2 linked regions of the Caenorhabditis elegans genome follow. The protein of the gene in region 1 purifies or fractionates together with the protein of each later gene. This does not show direct contact. Each region holds a gene or a part of one and is shown in the gene's direction. Other genes may lie near its edges.

Region 1 (11,224 bases):
CACATTGAGCCAACTTGTTTTTTTTCTGTTGTTGGTGGGCTCAATGGGGTGCCGAGCCAGTGAAGCCGATGGAAAATAAAAACAAAATCATGTCAGTCGGCAGAGAATTGGTATATTTTCAGTTATTTTGCATTTTTCTGAAATTTTTATCTTGATTTTTTGCGCTTCGGTTGAGGTGTAAATTTTAGAGAATTGACAATTTTTTGAAATGAACTTTTTTTTGTATTTTCAAAATTTCGCCGAGCTACGATCCGTTAAAGTTTTCTACCGGCTTCTTTCCTTTCGTAGTATAGTTTTAAAATTTTTCAAAAATCAATTTCAGATGCTCCCACAGCTGCTCCTGTTCACAATACTCCCAATTTCGACGCTCGGTCTGGAATGCTTCACGTGTGGAGTTTTCCTGTCGGCTCCGGAGCCAATGTGTCGCGGTGAAATCCGAAATAACTCGTGTGCTCCCGAAAATCTTGGATGCTTATCGATTATTGGCCATAAAGCAGTGAGTTTTTTGCTTAAATTAGAGGAGTCACATGGTGCTAGGCTGTCCCATTACGGTTTGATCTACAAAAAATGCGGGAATTTTTTGCCCAAAAGAAATGTGACGTCAGCACGTTCTTGACCATGCGAAATCAGTTGAGAACTCTGCGTGTCTTCTCCCGCATTTTTCGAAGATCTACGTAGATCAAGCCAAAATGAGATACTCTGACACCACGTGACGAGTGGCACCGAAAAAAATATCGATGGCCGAATTTTTGCGCGTAAAATATGAGCGCTGTGAAAATATGAGCACCCCACAGATTTCTGGCTTCCCTCATAAATTGAAATGGAAGAGTTCGCCAAACTAGGCCATTTTGGCTCGGCCATAGCTGGGGTAGATTTACGGCGCGTTGCTTGTCGCGTCGCGGCTCGATTTTAGTTGTAAAACTGAATGTATTTGTCCGTGTAAAGTACACGGCTTTCCCACGCGTTATCCGGCGGGCGATTGTCAATGGAGCGCGAAAAATCAATGAGAAAGTCCAGAACCCCGTGTCGGCAAGAAAAAATTATTTCAGGACGGAACCTATTATGTAGAAAAACGATGCGCTGAGAAAACCGATGATTTAACGGATGGATGCATTAATATCGGAATCAGAGGGTAAGTCTCAAAATGCGCTCTATTGAGAATAACACCAATTATTATAATTAATTCCACGTTGCAGCATCGCCGCCAAGCAATGTTTGTGCAAAACGGATCTCTGTAATTCGAGCCCCGGCCAGCCGTTCCGCACCTGCCTCGGATTAGGACTGCTTGGCTTCCTCTACGCGTTTTGGAGAATTGTTTGAATTTATTTTTGAAGCCCTCCATGGAGCTCCAAATAATAATTTTTTGGTGTATAGGAAATTTTCACGGTTGACCTCATATTTCGACTCGTTTTGAGCATAGTTTTGTACAATAAACATTTGAATTTCTAGAAATTATATTAAATGCAGAGCAAAACATCACTATGAGCTGAGGATATTGGTATTGAAGCGATTGAAACTTTTCAACTACCGTATCCGCGAGTTGTAAAACGGTTATTGTACTTTTCCATTTTCCATCAATAATTTTGATGTCAAAACAAGTTTTTTAAAGACTTACAACGTAAAAAAAACCAAAGAAATACTTAAAATATTGAAGGGAAAATGTGAAAATTGGAAAAATAAGTTTAAAATTTACTAAATTATTGCCCATTACAGTACTCCTTAATACGGTAAGAGAAATAGTCTTGATTGTGACAGTCGCAATTTTCCGAAAAACTTTTTTCAGATAATAAGTTTTTTAATGCCTACAAATTTTTATGCTTACTTTTTAATGCCAAAATTTCAAGTTCTGCCGCTTAATTCGCAATATTCCTTTAAATACACTTTGCGCGTAAAACCAGATGCCCGGTCCGCATTTCGAAACTTACCGCGGTGTTTGCGGACTCGCGAAAAACAGATTTTATTTTCTGTGCGCAATTTTTCCATTTTTCTCCTATTTTTCTTTAAAAACGATCATAGATTTGATTTTAATGTGTGTTTAATTTAAAATTTGCTAGTTTCTTATCAATATTTCCATATTTTCCACTTTGAAAGTGTTCTTATCAGCAGAAATCAGTAGAAACAGCCAATTTTTCATGTCATTGAAATAAATTACACGGAGTCACACGATTTTTTTGCATAAATCCGGCATTATTTTCATTCAAATAGTTCTGTAGTAACGTTTTCTTCGGGCAAATAGTTGAAAAAATGTTTTTAAAAATATTATTTTCCATCAAAAACTCTGCAAACAGCATTTCATCTCGAAAGTGCAGTCCCAAAACATTTAAATGCGCCCGATTTTTTGCAGAAACGTCACAGATAATTCGTTCGTCTGACGACCTCCGTACGGTCTTCCCCGTCAGATAGACTTCCCCCATCACCATTAGCCCATATACTTTCCTTGTCAATTTTCCCACCTTTGACGTTGCAGTTCTCAAAACAAAAACGTTTTTATTAGTTTCTTTAGTTCCTAGATATTCTCTTTTACATTTTATTAATACTTTATTGGACTCAAAATTGTCTGGAAAAACCGAATTTATTAATGAAACTTCTTGAAAATTCTCAAAAATGGTTATGTCGGCGCAAAATGTGATCTAAAATTAGTTAAAACTTGAAATTTGACCGCGGCTAGAAACTAACTTTTTTGAAATCCGCCTCTAATTTTGGGTATTCAAGTTAATTGTCTTGAGTTTTCAACTCGATTTAGGTACATTTAAAGTCGATGGATCACCAGAAAATGGTAATTTCTACCAAATTTGATGATCAATCGACCTTAAATGCACCTAAATCGAGTTGAAAACTCAAGATAATTAACTTGCATACCAAAAATTAGAGGGTGATTTCCAAAAAGTTAGTTTCTAGCCGTGGTCAAATTTCAAGTTTTAACTAATTTAAGGGCATATTTTGCGCCGACATAACCATTTTTTTTTGAGAAGTCTTCAAGAAGTTTCATGATGACATTCGGTGTTTTCAGACAATTTCGACTACACACGCTCCCCTCAAAGCCGAATAATTATTAGAGCGCGCTCTAATAATTATTCGGCTTTGAGAAGGGCGTGCTACACCACCTTCAAACAAAATTTAAACACAAAAAAAAAGTGTTTTTTTAGTTTTCCATCTGCAACAAAAAAAAAGAACTCGAAAATCTCCTTGCAGCTCTTTTTAGATCGTTCCTCTCTTTGTTCTGCATCTCTGCGTCGAGTGATCTCTGCAAAAGTTGTCCCGCCGCCGGAGACCGCCCATCTTATCATCATCTCCTCCTCCTCTCCCGTGTTCACATGAATTCCCGCTGCAGACAATAATGTCAGTTGATTGACCATTTGACACACACACAAAATATTTCATTTTCCATATTATGTATTTTTGCAACAAAAAATATTTATCTGACCGCCCATCTCCTCCTCCGTGTTAATATAAAACGTGTGCCGGCATAAAAATTCGAATAACATCAGCATTTTTCATTTCTACAGGGTACCAATGGCTTCACCAGCAACGAAATTCTTGACCGATCGGGTTGCTCTCGTCACTGCTTCTACTAAGGTATTTAGCCCTTTTTTGTGGTTTTCTTATTCAAAATCTGAAAATTTGCTTCATCAGACCCAAAATGGTACAAAATACCAAATTTCGTAGTGAGACGAGAAAATTTTTTCGAAAAAAGTTGAAGATTTTAAAAAAATGGTAAATTTTCAGCTAAAATCTCAAATTTTGGCAACTTTTCAGTGTTGCAGCGGTTGAAACTTAATTTGTATTTAATTAACATTCTTTGATGCATGCCTACGCAACTTATTATTACGAGAACAAAAAATTCTGAAAATGCGTATTTCACAACATATTTGACGCGCAGAATATCTCGTAGCGAAAACTACTGTAGCGCTTGTGTCGATTTACGGACTCCATTCTTGAAAAAAAAAATCATATTTTTCGAATTTTTACACATCGATATTCAATTTTTCTTCGCTTTTTCGAATTCCGTGGTCATTTTTGTGCTTATTTTTTAATGTTTTATCCATTAATAAATTAATTTAATTGAAAAACGTCCAATATTCGCGTAATTTTGATGAGTAAACTCCTACGGGCGGCAATATTAGTGTAAAAAACGCGAGTATTGTACGTTTTTTAATTAAATTGATATATTAGTGGATAAAATATTTTTAAAAAAATCCCAAAAATAACAAAGGAATTGAACAACAACGAAGAAAAATTGAATATCGATGTGTAAAAGTTCGAAAAATATGTTTTTTTTCGAGAATGGAGTCCGTAAATCGACACAGCGCTACAGTAGTTTTCGCTACAAGATATTCTGCGCGTCAAATATGTTGTTTAATACGCAAAGTTTCGTAGACATGCATCAAATAATATTAATTAAATAAAAATTCAGTTCCAATCGCTGCGACACTGAAAAGTGGCCAAAATTTGAGATTTTAGCGGAAAATATACCATTCTTTTTCCTAAACTTTGGGCGGCCTTAACTTTTTTTGAAAAATTCATTCAGAACGTCTTATTACTAAATTTGGTAATTTTGGACTATTTTGGGTCTGATAAAGCACTAAAGGTACTCCACCTTTAAATTGATACTATTTCTAAATTGTCTTGTGTTCATGTTAGCCATCGCCTCCTCAAAAACAAAGTCATCATCATCGCCTCCTCAACTAGTATTATTGTTTTTTAGGGAATCGGGTTTGCCATCGCCAAACAACTTGGCGCTGCCGGCGCCTCTGTCGTCGTCTGCAGTCGGAAGAAGGAGAATGTCGATGTGAGTTGTGGATGAAATAATTAGAAAAAAACATAGTTTTTCCCTGAAAAAATCATAAAAATTTAACGATTTTAGCCCAAAAATATGGGTAGTACGCCTTTAAAGGTGATACAGTTTTTTTTCTACCGATTTTTTAAAAAATTTTGCAACAAAAAATTGAAAGTTTCGGCATTTTACGGCGATTTAGTTAGTTTTTCTCTGATCATTGTGGTTTGAAACATTATTGTTTTTTTTTCAAATTCTCAGTCGTTTTTCCGCAAAAAAATTTACTTGAACATAATTTGTACGGGTTCAAAAAATTAAAAAAAAATTAAAAAAATCGCAAAAATTAAAAATTGCCTATATATATATATATATATATATATATTATTACGGTTTAAAAAATTCTGAGAATGCGTATTTCACAACATATTTCACGCGCAAAATATCTCGTAGCGAAAACTACAGTTACTCTTTTAATTACTACTGTAGCGCTTGTGTCGATTTACGGGACTCTATTTTTGAAATTAATTTTTTTTCGAAAAGTGACAGCGATATTTCTGTTTGCTTCGTTTTTTTCGTATAAAATGACGAAACAATACGAAAAGAAAACGAAGGAAAATAGAATGTCGTTGTCATTTTCATTTTTCGAAAAAAAAAAATTAATTTCAAAAATAGAGTCCCGTAAATCGACACAAGTGCTACAGTAGCCATTTAAAGAATTACTGTAGTTTTCGCTTCGAGATATTTTGCGCATCAATATTGTCAAAATTTTTTGTCACCGTAATAATATTGTCGGAAAATGCAAAAATGTCGAAACTAAATTATTCCATTGTGCGGGAATTCAAAAATAATTCGGCACGTGCAGTCAGAAAGTCCCATTTCAGATTGATCCACGAAAAATGCGGGAGAAGAGACGCAGACATCTCATTTGATTTCGCATGGTTAAGAGAGTGCTGACGTCACATTTTTTGGGCATAAATATCCCGCATTTTTTGTAGATCAAAGCTAAATAAGACTTTCTTACACCACGTGATTCGATCAAAAATCATTAAAAATATAGAAAAATTGGTAAATAGAGACGGTTTTTTATTTAAAAAAACAGGAAAAATTAGATGTTTGGTTTTCGATTTTCGACACCTTGGTTATGCAAAAGCAGGAAAACATAAATATGGTTTTTTTTTTAAATTTTCAATAATATTATTCATTTTCCAGGAAGCCGTCGCCGCACTTCGCCTCGAAAACATTGACGCTCACGGCACAACAGCACACGTCGGCAACAAGTCGGACCGCACAAAACTGATCGACTTCACACTTGACAGATTCACGAAACTCGACATCCTCGTGTCGAACGCTGCCGTCAACCCGCACTACGGTGATCTGATGAAAGTCACCGACTCACAATGGGATAAGCTTCTCGATTTGAACGTAAAATCCGCATTCGAACTTACAAAAGAGGCTGTGCCGCACTTGGAGGCTTCTGGTCGGGGCAATGTCGTCTTTGTGTCGTCTGTCGCCGGATACTCACCGATGAACGAGATTGGAGCGTATTCGGTGATGAAGACGACGCTCACGGGATTGAGCAAATCGTTGGCTTTGAATTTGGCCAGGCGGAATATTCGAGTCAATAGTATTGCTCCGGGTAAGCGGAAAAATATTTGTTTTTTGGATATTTCGTGAAAAAATTAAATTTTGAATCATTGAAAATCAAAAAATTCAAAAAAATAAGTTGCTAATTTTGGTAGCCTAGGTTTTCTAGGAAAATTGATTTTTTTTTCAAAAATTTTACAAAAATGCAGTTGATCTACAAAAGTTTGAGGGGTGCGCGGCAAACGATTTTTTTTCCGGAAACTCGGCAAATTGCCGGAATTTAAATTTTCGGCAAATGGGCAAACCTGCAAATTGCCGGAATTGAAAGCTTCTGACAAATCGACAAATCAGCAAATTGCCGGAATCAAAATTTCCCGCTCATTGGAAAATTGCCTACCTGCCGATTTGCCTGAAAAATGGCAACTGCCGAAAAAATTAATTTTCGGCAAATTTGCACTTTTTTTTTTTGGAAATTCCAGAATTTCAATTTTAATCGGCAAAATTGTACGCATCCTGGAAAACGACGATTCCGGCAAATTGGCAAATCAGCAAATTGCCGGAATTGAAAGCTTCCGGCAAATTGCCAGTATTGAAAACTTCCAGCAAATTGCCGAATGTGCCGGAAATTAAAAATTGCCGGAATTGAAAATTTCCGGCAAATCGGCAAATTTCCGGAATTGAAAACTTCGGCAAACCGGCAAATTGCCGAAATTATAAACTTTCGGAATTGAAAATTTCCAGCAAATCGGCGAATTGCCGAAATTGAAATTTTCCGGCAAATTGCTAATTTGCCGGAAAAACGGCGAAATTTTCGGCAAATTGTGATTTTGCACCTTTTTTTTTTGAAATTTCAAAATTTTAATTTTAATCGGCAAATGATTTTCCGGCAAATCTACAAATCGGCAAATTGCCGGAATTGAAAATTTCCGGCAAATCCGCAAATTGCCCATATGCCGGAAAACGGCAAATGTCAATAATATATTTTGAGGAAATTCTATGAAAATTTCGAAAAGGCACAGTTTTTCGTTGTTTCCGTTTCCGTCTTTTAAAAAATCCCTCTAAAAATTTCCGGCAAATTACTGCAAATTTGCCGAAAATCAAAATTTTCGGCAAACCGGCAATTTGCCGGATTTGCCGCTATTCCTTCAAATTCCCAGAGGGGTCAGTGGGTGCAAAAACACAAACTTTAATGTCCTTGACTGATCACATTCTGTATCTTTTATCATTTAATCTTTTCTCTCTTTCTGTTATCTTGATTCGATTCGACAAAGAACAGATTTTAATTGGTTTTCGATTTTTGCCTGCTTCTGTCATAGTGTGTAGGGATTTCCCAAGCTAGCTGGAGCTCCTGAAAAATCGATTTTTTTTTTCCAAAATCATTCCGAAAAGTGCGTTGCCCACTACTTATTTTCGGATCGATTGACCCCATTTTTACCCCTCGTGCGAGCTATTTGCTCTGCGAAAGAGCAGTAGCAGGAGCAACAAAAAAACAGAAGCCACGAGGCTAACGTCTGAGTTTTAGCAAACATTTGACATATTTTCTCAATATTTACCTCTCGCTGCTTCTCTCCCACATTGACTTCGAAAAACCAAACGCCAACTCACGGGATCCCGGTGCATCGGGTACCCAGAGGAGGGTTATTTTCAAAAAATTTGAAAAAAACGCATGTTTTTCGTTTGTTTTTCAACTTTGAAACGGAAGATTTGGCGCGATCGAAAATCAAAATGTTGAAATTTGGCGATCTTTGGGAAAAAACGCCATGTGACTTGAAACATGTTGACTTGCCAAAAAACCATCTGATAAATAACATACTTAATGACCCAGAAATCATAAGGCGTAAATCCTGAGATCTAGGTAAATATAAATATTTATCCGAATTTTTGCGGAATTTTCGTGAAAACTGTTGTTTTTCCAACGCACGTGGACTCAGAAAGTTCCATTTTGCTTTGATCTTCGAAAAATGCGGGAGAAGAGAGCGCGTGCTGACGTCGCAATTTTTCTGGGAAAAATTCCCGCATTTTTCGTAGATCAAAGTGAAACAGGCTGACACCACGTGTTGTCGTTGATGGGTGACGTAGATATTACGGAAATACAAGACTATTAGCATGCGTATTGCACAAAATATTTGACGTGCAAATAATCTCGTAGCGAAAACTACAGTAATCCTTTAAATGACTACTACTGTAGCGCTTGTGTCGATTTACGGGCTCGATTTACGATGGAATATTACATTTAAGCAAAATAAAGAGAAAATAATACAAAGAAACGAAGGAAACTGGAATATAGCTGTAACTATTCGAAAATAAATTTATTTCAAAAATCGAGCCCGTAAATCGACACAAGCGCTACAGTATTTATTTAAAGAGTTACTGTAATTTTCGCTGCGAGATATTTTGCGCGTAAAATATGTTGCACAGTACGTATTCTCAGAATTTTGTGTTCCCGTAATATTGAAATATTTTTGTGAAATGCAAAACGGCGTGCGCCTTTAAAGTGTACTACGGAATTTTCATAGATTTGTCTAGTTTTCTCACGATTAGTTGAAAACTTGAGATTCTTTTATTTTTGGTCTAGCAAAAAATTACAGAAAAATTTTCTACAAAAAATATTTATTTATTTATTAAAGAGAAAATTTCAATCTTAAATTTTTAACGAATCGTGAGAAAACTAGTGAAAATCGATGACAAGCCCGCGAAAACAGGATTTTTTGAAATTACAGTACTCTTCAAAGATCGTGTCGAGACCGGGCTACCGTGATTTCGACTCAAAAATCGCAAAATTTTCGCGTCTGAATAATATCACAATGATTTTTTCGAACCACACTAAAACATAAATTTCTTTACAGGAATCATTCAAACCGACTTCTCGCAAGTCCTCTTCTCCGACGAATCCGAAAAGCAGAAGTGGCTCTCACAAATTGCACAACGCCGATTCGGTGATCCGGATGAGTGTGCCGAGGCGGTGGCGTTCCTGGTTTCCGACGAGGCTAGCTACATATCTGGAGAGACGATCGGTATCAACGGAGGCATGCACGCGCGGATTTAGAGATCTCCGGCGGTGGAAAATAGTGCCGATAAACGTTTTTTTTTAATTTTTCTTGATGAAGAATCTCATTTTTCCCCTCCACTCCCTCCCCGACACACTAAATTATGATTCATTTCAATTTTTTTGATATCCCGTCCCCCTCACGTTGTCAGGCTGTCCCATTACGGTTTGATCTACAAAAAATGCGGGGGATTTTTTTATCGAAAAGTTGACAACTCTGCATCTCTTCTCCCGCATTTTTTCGTAAATCTACGTAGATCAAACCAGAATGAGCCACTCTGATGACACCACGTCCCCCTCATCATCATCATCATGTGCCAAACCTGTGAGTTTTGCGTTGTCGTCCACCTCTTTGCAATTTAGGGTTCTTTTATTCATATTTCCTCTTTTTTTTTTGTTCGAACACAAATGACTGGTATTCTGTCATGCTTTTTTCCTCGAATTTTCCATGTATTAGCCACGTTTCATTTCTCCCTCTCATTTCTAATCAATTTAGAGTTTCTGAATGAAATTCTCAAAAAAATACAATTTGTTTCCAAAGCTTTATCAGTAGAGCAGTAGATCACTAGTTGTACCGAAAAGCACATATCGAATACAGCTGCTTATTGCAGTCAGTATTCACCCATGAATTATCATTAATCACCAGCGCCACACAATCACAACCATCAGCATCTCGTGGATATCCGGATCGCCAGTTTTGATAACTGGAATCATAGGTGTCTCCGTTGATAAAATACCAGTTTGACGAGTTGGTCGGGTCCCGTTTTAGCCCGAACCAGAACATCCCGTCACTGACGGGCGGTACTATGGCTGAAAATGGGAATTGACGATAGAGCGCGTTGGCACACCGACTCACTCCGCACTTTCTCCTCCTCTTCCTTTGTCTCGATTGATGTCAGTTTAGGAGTATGCAGGAATAATGGATGATCGGATAGGCAGAGATTTTCAGCTTCAGCGAATTGTTTTTTGTCTGAGGAGACCTGGAATATTGGAACTACTACGGGACCACAATGCGTACTTCACAACATAATTGACGCGCAAAATATCTCGTAGCGAAAACTACAGTAATTCTTTTACCGATACAGTAATCATTTAAAGAATTGCTGTAGTTTTCGCTGCGGGAAAAAAATGTGATGTTTCAAATGTGATGTTTGCACAAAATACACCAATTCGTCGAGCTGAATACACGTATAATTACGAGCTTCAGAAAACTTTGTATTGAGATTATTTGTACTTGTGTAGTATTACAGGAAAACAATATTAGAAGAATGCGTATTGTGCAACATATTTTGCACGTAAAATGTTTTGTACAATACGCATTCTCAGAATTTTGTGTTTCACAAACCCGATAGCATTTCGTATTGGCCAGACCACTGAAATATGTGAAATTAGTCGTGTCGTAGAAGCATCTGCAAGAAAAGTTAAATTTTTAACATTTGAATTTTGAGGAAAAAATTCTAAACTTGAAAATTCTAAGTTTGAAAACTAACGGGTCTGATGGATTCGATGTCGGTTCAGGGGTTGAAGGCAGCGGGAGCACATATTGGCAGAGTACTTGTCGTTTGGTACTGGTACAATTCCCGTCCGAGTACCAAAGCTTGTCGCTCACGTTCATGTAGGCACAATCCGTGTAGGTAGTTGCGTCGATAGAGGGTTCTGGAAAATCGCTTAAAATATCACAAGATGGTATTTGCTACGTGGCGGTAAAAGATTTAAAATAGATGGCCGAATTTTTCACTCTTGGAAAACTCGGCCATCGATTGTTTTTTTTCGGCCACGTTGTTGAAACGGAACGATCAACCAGCAAATTTGTTTCGGAT
Region 2 (5,928 bases), on another chromosome or scaffold:
TACCGATCATTTTGTTGTTTGGTGTTGTTTCTACCAGGCAGTGAATTTTCAGTTTTGAAGGTTGAGTTGGTAGGCACTTTTTTCAACTTTTTTTCCTTGGCTTCAAAAAATATACTTATTACGCTCTTATTTTAAAGGTGTATATATCACGGAAAGAGAAACAGTCACGAGCATTTTATTTATTTATTTATTTACTTCAATACGAGCATTCAACTAGATTCTTTCAATTTGTTCTATTTCTTTACACTTTTATAACAAAAGGCATGTAAAAAATTTAAATTTGAATCACCGCGATGACAAATTCCTTTTTTTTACTTTTTTTTACTTAATTTTGCTTATTTATTTTTGCTTATTTTTGGACTTCTCAATTGTTGATTCAAATTTCATAGCCAATTTTTTTAAATTGAATTTCCTTGTTGGGCCAGTAAGATCAACTTAATGCAAAACCCAAATAAATGATACTAAAAATATTTATTTCTTCAAACTTTGAAACAATTTGCACTCTTTATGAACCAAAAGTCAAGAATGTGGCAAACATTTGCGAGTGGAAGGCAGAGAATTCGATAAGAAGAAAACAAAAATGAGTTCTAGATCTGAACTGTTAGTTTTCACATCATTATTGTTTTTTAAACTTTTCAGATATAGTTTAATTGGAAAACTTATCATAAAATGTAAAAGTTTTCCAATTAAATTTAAAAACAATATATTCCAGTTGTTTTTTCCAAAAGCCGGAACATTTTCGGAACAAATTATTCCAATCGGATTATTTTCTATTTCATTTTCTTTTTTTTTTCTCCGAAACGTGAACTTTATGAAATCCCAATTCCACAACCCAAAGTACATATTTAACCTCCAACAAACAACACAATTCTGTTCCCTCTTTTTCACCCGTTTGCACTTTATTTCTTTTCACTCACCTCGAGTCACGTGATCTCCTTCTAAGAACTGAATTTCAAAAACACAAAATGTTGTTTTCATCCGTTTCTATTTCAGCCCTTTATGTTTTTATTGAACGGTGAAAAGATCGGATCATTTTTACACTGGCTACAATTTTATTTTTTCTCATTTGTTCGTGTATGTCATATACCTGCCTGCCTGCGTGCCTTCTTAGCCCCTCGATTCTACATTCTAACATAAAATGAGCTGGGTGGTGTACACACATGATAAATTTACGTTTATCTCCCTTTATCATTTAAATTGTTTTGTTAAAAGTTCAATTAAGAAATGGCAGGTATTTTTGTGCGTATTTGGAATAGTCATAAAGCATTTAACCAAACTTCTTTCCTGAAAATATTGTTCATTGTATATTTTCATATCTTTTATCCAAAACAACTAAATGCTCAAAAATCGCACATCTGGTTATCACGTGCGGTTAGGAAAAATAGAAATCAAATATTTAGAGTACCCAAGTTTTTTTCCAAACAAAATCTATTTTTATCGTGGTCATTTGCAAACAATTCTACACTTTGTTCACTAGACTTGAGACCAACTGTTTTTTTTCTGTTTTTTGTCCGCTGATGCTCCAATTGCTCTACCACGTGTCTGTGCTCCTATCAACTCATTGGTACCTCCCTTGATGTTTACACAAATATCTTTTCTTTCTTCTCAACTCTATCATTATTGTCTGGCCAACGTGATTCGGCTGTTTTTTTTTTTCGTGCCTAATTATTTTAAAAAAAACTTTTCTACAAAATAAGAATTTTCAGAAATCTTAAAAGCGTCCCGAAGTAGTTCAAGTTGTTTTAGTACTGGAGCTCATTAAGGTTTAGAAAAATCATAAGCTTCTGTTTTTTTTTCGCTTTTTTGTCGAAAAATTTTAAAATAATTGCTGAATTTTCATGAATTTTGCAGACTTCAAGTTTCAAAATGCCGAACCGAAAAGTGGTCAAATTCTTCTTCGATGTCATTTCTCCGTACAGTTACTTTGGATTCGAAGGAATCACTCGTCATCGTTCCGTTTGGAAGACTCCAATTCAGATGAAACCATTCTTTTTTGCTGGTGTTGTCAGACATACTGGTGAGTTTTTGTATTTTTGTCTTGAAATTTCTCTAATATCCGTAAAAAAATGGAATTAGCTTTTTTAAAGTAAGGTTTTTAAACCATGACCCTCTAACAATTCCGTTTGAAATGTCAAAATAAAAGCTTTCAATTTACTTCTGGAAAAGGACATGCAAAACCTTAAGAAGCCTGTATGTTATTATTTTCTAAAAAATGCACCTCTATCTATTTATATCATAAGGTCGGCTACTTCTACTTCTTAAAATCTGCTTTAATCTGACGAAGGGCACTAGAATAGATAAATACACTTAAATAGTTCAACAATAGTTCAACATTATAATAGTTGAACATGACATATATTAACATAATAAGACAATCCAAAAATTTCAGGATTTTTCAAAATGATCAGTGAACGTTTTGATAAGTTGCCAAATGTCCCTAAAAGGACTATTTGAAAGCAATTTCGAGACATTTGGAAAAGTGATATTTGGTAATTTTATAAGTATAGGAGCATTGATAAATAACATAATTGTTTTGAAAATTTTTTTCGAATCGTGCTAATCATCAGAAAGTTGTTTGATATGTACCTTCTAAATCATATAACTGCAAGTTTTCAGAAAACCCCGGTCTCCCACTCCGTATTCCTATCAAAGAAAAGTACATGCACAAAGATTTGCTCTTCTCTGCCCAATATTGGGGAATTCCGTTCCGTCTTCCCAAGGACTACACAAATATGATGTTGAACACAAGTTCAATCGTTCCACAACGTATTCTTGTCGCTTCACAACTCCGTGATAATGTTTTGATGGAAGACGTTGCTCGTGGACTCTGGCATCGATTTTATGCATACGGAAAACCAATTTTCACAAAAAGTCAAGTTGCCGAAGTTTTGAGAGATTTGCATGTAAAAGATGTCGATGAGTTGGTGATGATGAGTGATTCGGCAGAAGTTAAGAACATTTTAAGAGAAAACACAGATGAAGCCATCGGGAATGGAGTAGGTCATTTATTATAGGAACCCAGAAAAACACGGAATCGACGAGAAAACACGCTCCACAACCAATTTAAAACGGTCCGCCCCCTAACGATGGGTCTCGTTAGGTATTTTCCGTTAAACTTGAACGTTTTTGATTAGGCTCGACAATTTTCTAGAATTAGTCTTTCTGTTATATTTTTCGAAGTGTTTAATGATTTCAACATCGAAATGATGTCTAAGAAAATTATGTGAATTTAGGGCGTTTTCACTTATCATAATAATTTTATTTCATCTATTTCAACCGAAAAAACATCAAAAACTACGAAAAATATAACAAAATAGACGACGAACGCAAAATTCCTAACGAGACCCATGGTTTAGGGGCGGAGCATTTTCAGTTGGCCCCGGAGCGCGCTTGCGCGTCGTTTTAAAATGTTTTTTTGCTGTTTTATAATATTCTCAATTGGGAATTAAAATTAATTTTTTTCAGTGTTTCGGAGCTCCGTGGATGCATATCACTGATGGTCACGGAAAAGTACTTCAAACAGTTTTCGGATCGGATCGCCTTCCACAGGTGGCCGATTTTCTTGCCGAGCCATTCAAGGGTCCAATGAGAGAGAAGAAGCCGAACGCATAAATTGTCAGATTAGCATTCTAAAAAGTGTCTAGAATTTTATCTGAGAAAGAATAACGATTAAAATTAATTCTTTCTTTTGTGTTGGCAAGAGAAATACAGAAAACGATGGAAAAAATGTGGAAACAAAAAGACTACTAATCTATTTCACACGAGTTTCAATTTGTTGCGGCAATTACAGAAAAAAAACGGAGCAAAAAAGAAAGAGCATAAGCTAACGAAAACTTGGGGTTGGTTGGGGGGACGAAGGGTGAGAGATCTGAGTATGTGTTAGTTTTGCGTGGCCTCTGATGATTAGCCGAATATAAATAAGGGAAAGCGTAAAGGTTTGATAAAAAGTAAAAGAGAAATTTCAAGAAACGAAAAATAATATTACCGGTACAGAGAGTGTAGATAGTTAGAGAGTGACAGACATCCGGGACCCAATGGGGCGGGGCGCGCGGAAGAGACGATTTGTGTCGATTTACGAAATTTTCCTCGTTGTCATTATTTCGTAAATCGACACAAATCGTCTCTTCCGCGCGCCCCGCCCCATTAGGTCCCGGATGTCTGTCACTCTCTAACTATCTACACTCTCTGTACCGGTAATAGAGAACAAATAACAATCTGATATTTTCTAATCAGCTTTTTGAACTTTTCTTCGTGCGGCGGCGGACCTCGTTGTGATGGATGGCTCAGCGATGTTAGCATTGATATCTTCTTTTGGCTCCAGAATTTCGAAATCAACAGGCTGAAAAACGAATTATTTTTTTCCAAAGATTTTTTAAAAATATGCTCATAAGTCAGAATTTTCCAAGTTTCCCAGCAAGGGTAACGGGTTTTCCATTTTTTACTGAAATCTAACAATCGAAATGTTTTTTCGATTTTTCTGATATTTCGAAAAAATTCGATTTTTTCCAAATAGAAAAGTTAAAATTGTGGTCATTTTTCTTCTTGGAAGAATAAGTTCATATGTTTTCTTATGTTTTTTTCCATCAACATTAACAAAATTTGATGAAAATTGAATTTTATAATTATTTTCTGAACATTGCCGATTTTTCGATTTTCTTGAAACCTTTTTTCTCAGGTAAATTAAAACGAGATCGGGGAAATTTTTTGAATTATTTTCATAATTTACTGTACCTAAAAGATGCTCACCTCTTCCTTTTCCTTCTTATCTTTCTTAACTTCGGTATAACGGTTGTTTTTCTTAACATATGCATGGTAGAAGAAGTTGGCGAAAAGAAGGAAATATGTGAAATAAACTCCAAAGCATAATCCCAAATTGTCCCATGTCTGTTGGCAGTATTCACCCGATGACTTGATACGGTAGACAGTGACTCCGATGATTACTCCCATAACCATTTGAGCAAGTTGGAGAGTAGTAACAACCATTGCCATTTGTTTTGGAAGACGGAATTTCAGAGAACGAAGAGCATAGTAGGAATACATAAGAGCATGAACTCCATAATTCATCCAAATGAACCACCGTCCTGATGCAGTGTGATCCTTGTACGCGTGCCATGTGTAGATCATAACAGTTACATGATGATACCAGTGAAGGAAGATGAGTGGACGTTTACGAAGAACGATGAAGATTGTGTCGATGAGCTCGAAAAGTTTGCTCATTGCGAATTGTTCAGTCCAGAAACCAGTGACTCCTTGAGCATAAGATGAATGACAAATTGAATATTTGAATGAGTTTCCTTCTGCTGACCAACTCCATACAAATTCAGGTGTCATTCGGAGGAACCCGAGAATTGAGAAAATGGCTAAAAATGAATTCCAGACGAAGAGTGGTGTGTCCAGTTGGAAGGGCTTGTACTTTTCCATAATCTGAAACATTTGAGAACTATTAAGTGATTTTCGGTTTCGATTCTTAATTGCATTCTGAAGGCTAGACTCAAAAGTAATAACTCGTGATTTTTTGTAGATGAGAACCACCTGCTAAGCAATTACTTTAATGTCGATATATTTTCGGTTATGCTTTAAAATATGTAACGCACCTAGGAGGCTTCTGAAACGGAATTCACAGTTTTTGGGAGTAGAGGTTGTGTTTTCTATAGTAAAAACTGGTTAGAAACTACCGAATTCATGATGAGACTTCTCAAAAAAAATTCTAAAAATTTTTATGACAAAAATTCCGAAAAAGTCCAAAATTTGAAATTTTGCCAGCTTTTTCTTGTCGCTGCAGCTGGGAAACAGTTTTTTATTGATGTAATAACTTTTATTGAATATTTTGGTAATTATTCTCGCGTTAACTAGTTTCTTTTAGCACATTTCAGATTTTAGAAAAATGCGCCTCTTTTTCGGAAATTGACACGCCATAAAAATTCTTTT

Evidence for each region. Proteins that work in one complex are often made in the same cells at the same time.
Region 2: the proteins of dhs-13 (region 1) and gstk-2 fractionate together in Caenorhabditis elegans (co-fractionation; one large-scale study listed by BioGRID). This does not show direct contact.

What each region holds. Positions count from the first base shown.
Region 1 is NC_003283.11:1,764,017-1,775,240, reverse strand, and holds dhs-13 (DeHydrogenases, Short chain), read left to right. Parts: upstream 1-3,506; 5' UTR 3,507-3,513; coding exon 3,514-3,576; intron 3,577-4,705; coding exon 4,706-4,789; intron 4,790-5,983; coding exon 5,984-6,410; intron 6,411-9,204; coding exon 9,205-9,404; 3' UTR 9,405-9,930; downstream 9,931-11,224. Other genes in the region: F36H9.7 (UPAR/Ly6 domain-containing protein), read left to right, coding at 323-496, 1,050-1,132, 1,197-1,320; clec-205 (C-type lectin domain-containing protein), read right to left, coding at 9,970-10,214, 10,261-10,384, 10,750-10,813, 10,895-11,060.
Region 2 is NC_003282.8:7,238,194-7,244,121, reverse strand, and holds gstk-2 (Glutathione s-transferase kappa 2), read left to right. Parts: upstream 1-1,851; 5' UTR 1,852-1,866; coding exon 1,867-2,017; intron 2,018-2,616; coding exon 2,617-2,996; intron 2,997-3,465; coding exon 3,466-3,612; 3' UTR 3,613-3,677; downstream 3,678-5,928. Other genes in the region: elo-3 (Putative fatty acid elongase 3), read right to left, coding at 4,226-4,339, 4,747-5,424. UniProt on the Caenorhabditis elegans protein: Has roles in respiratory and lipid metabolism.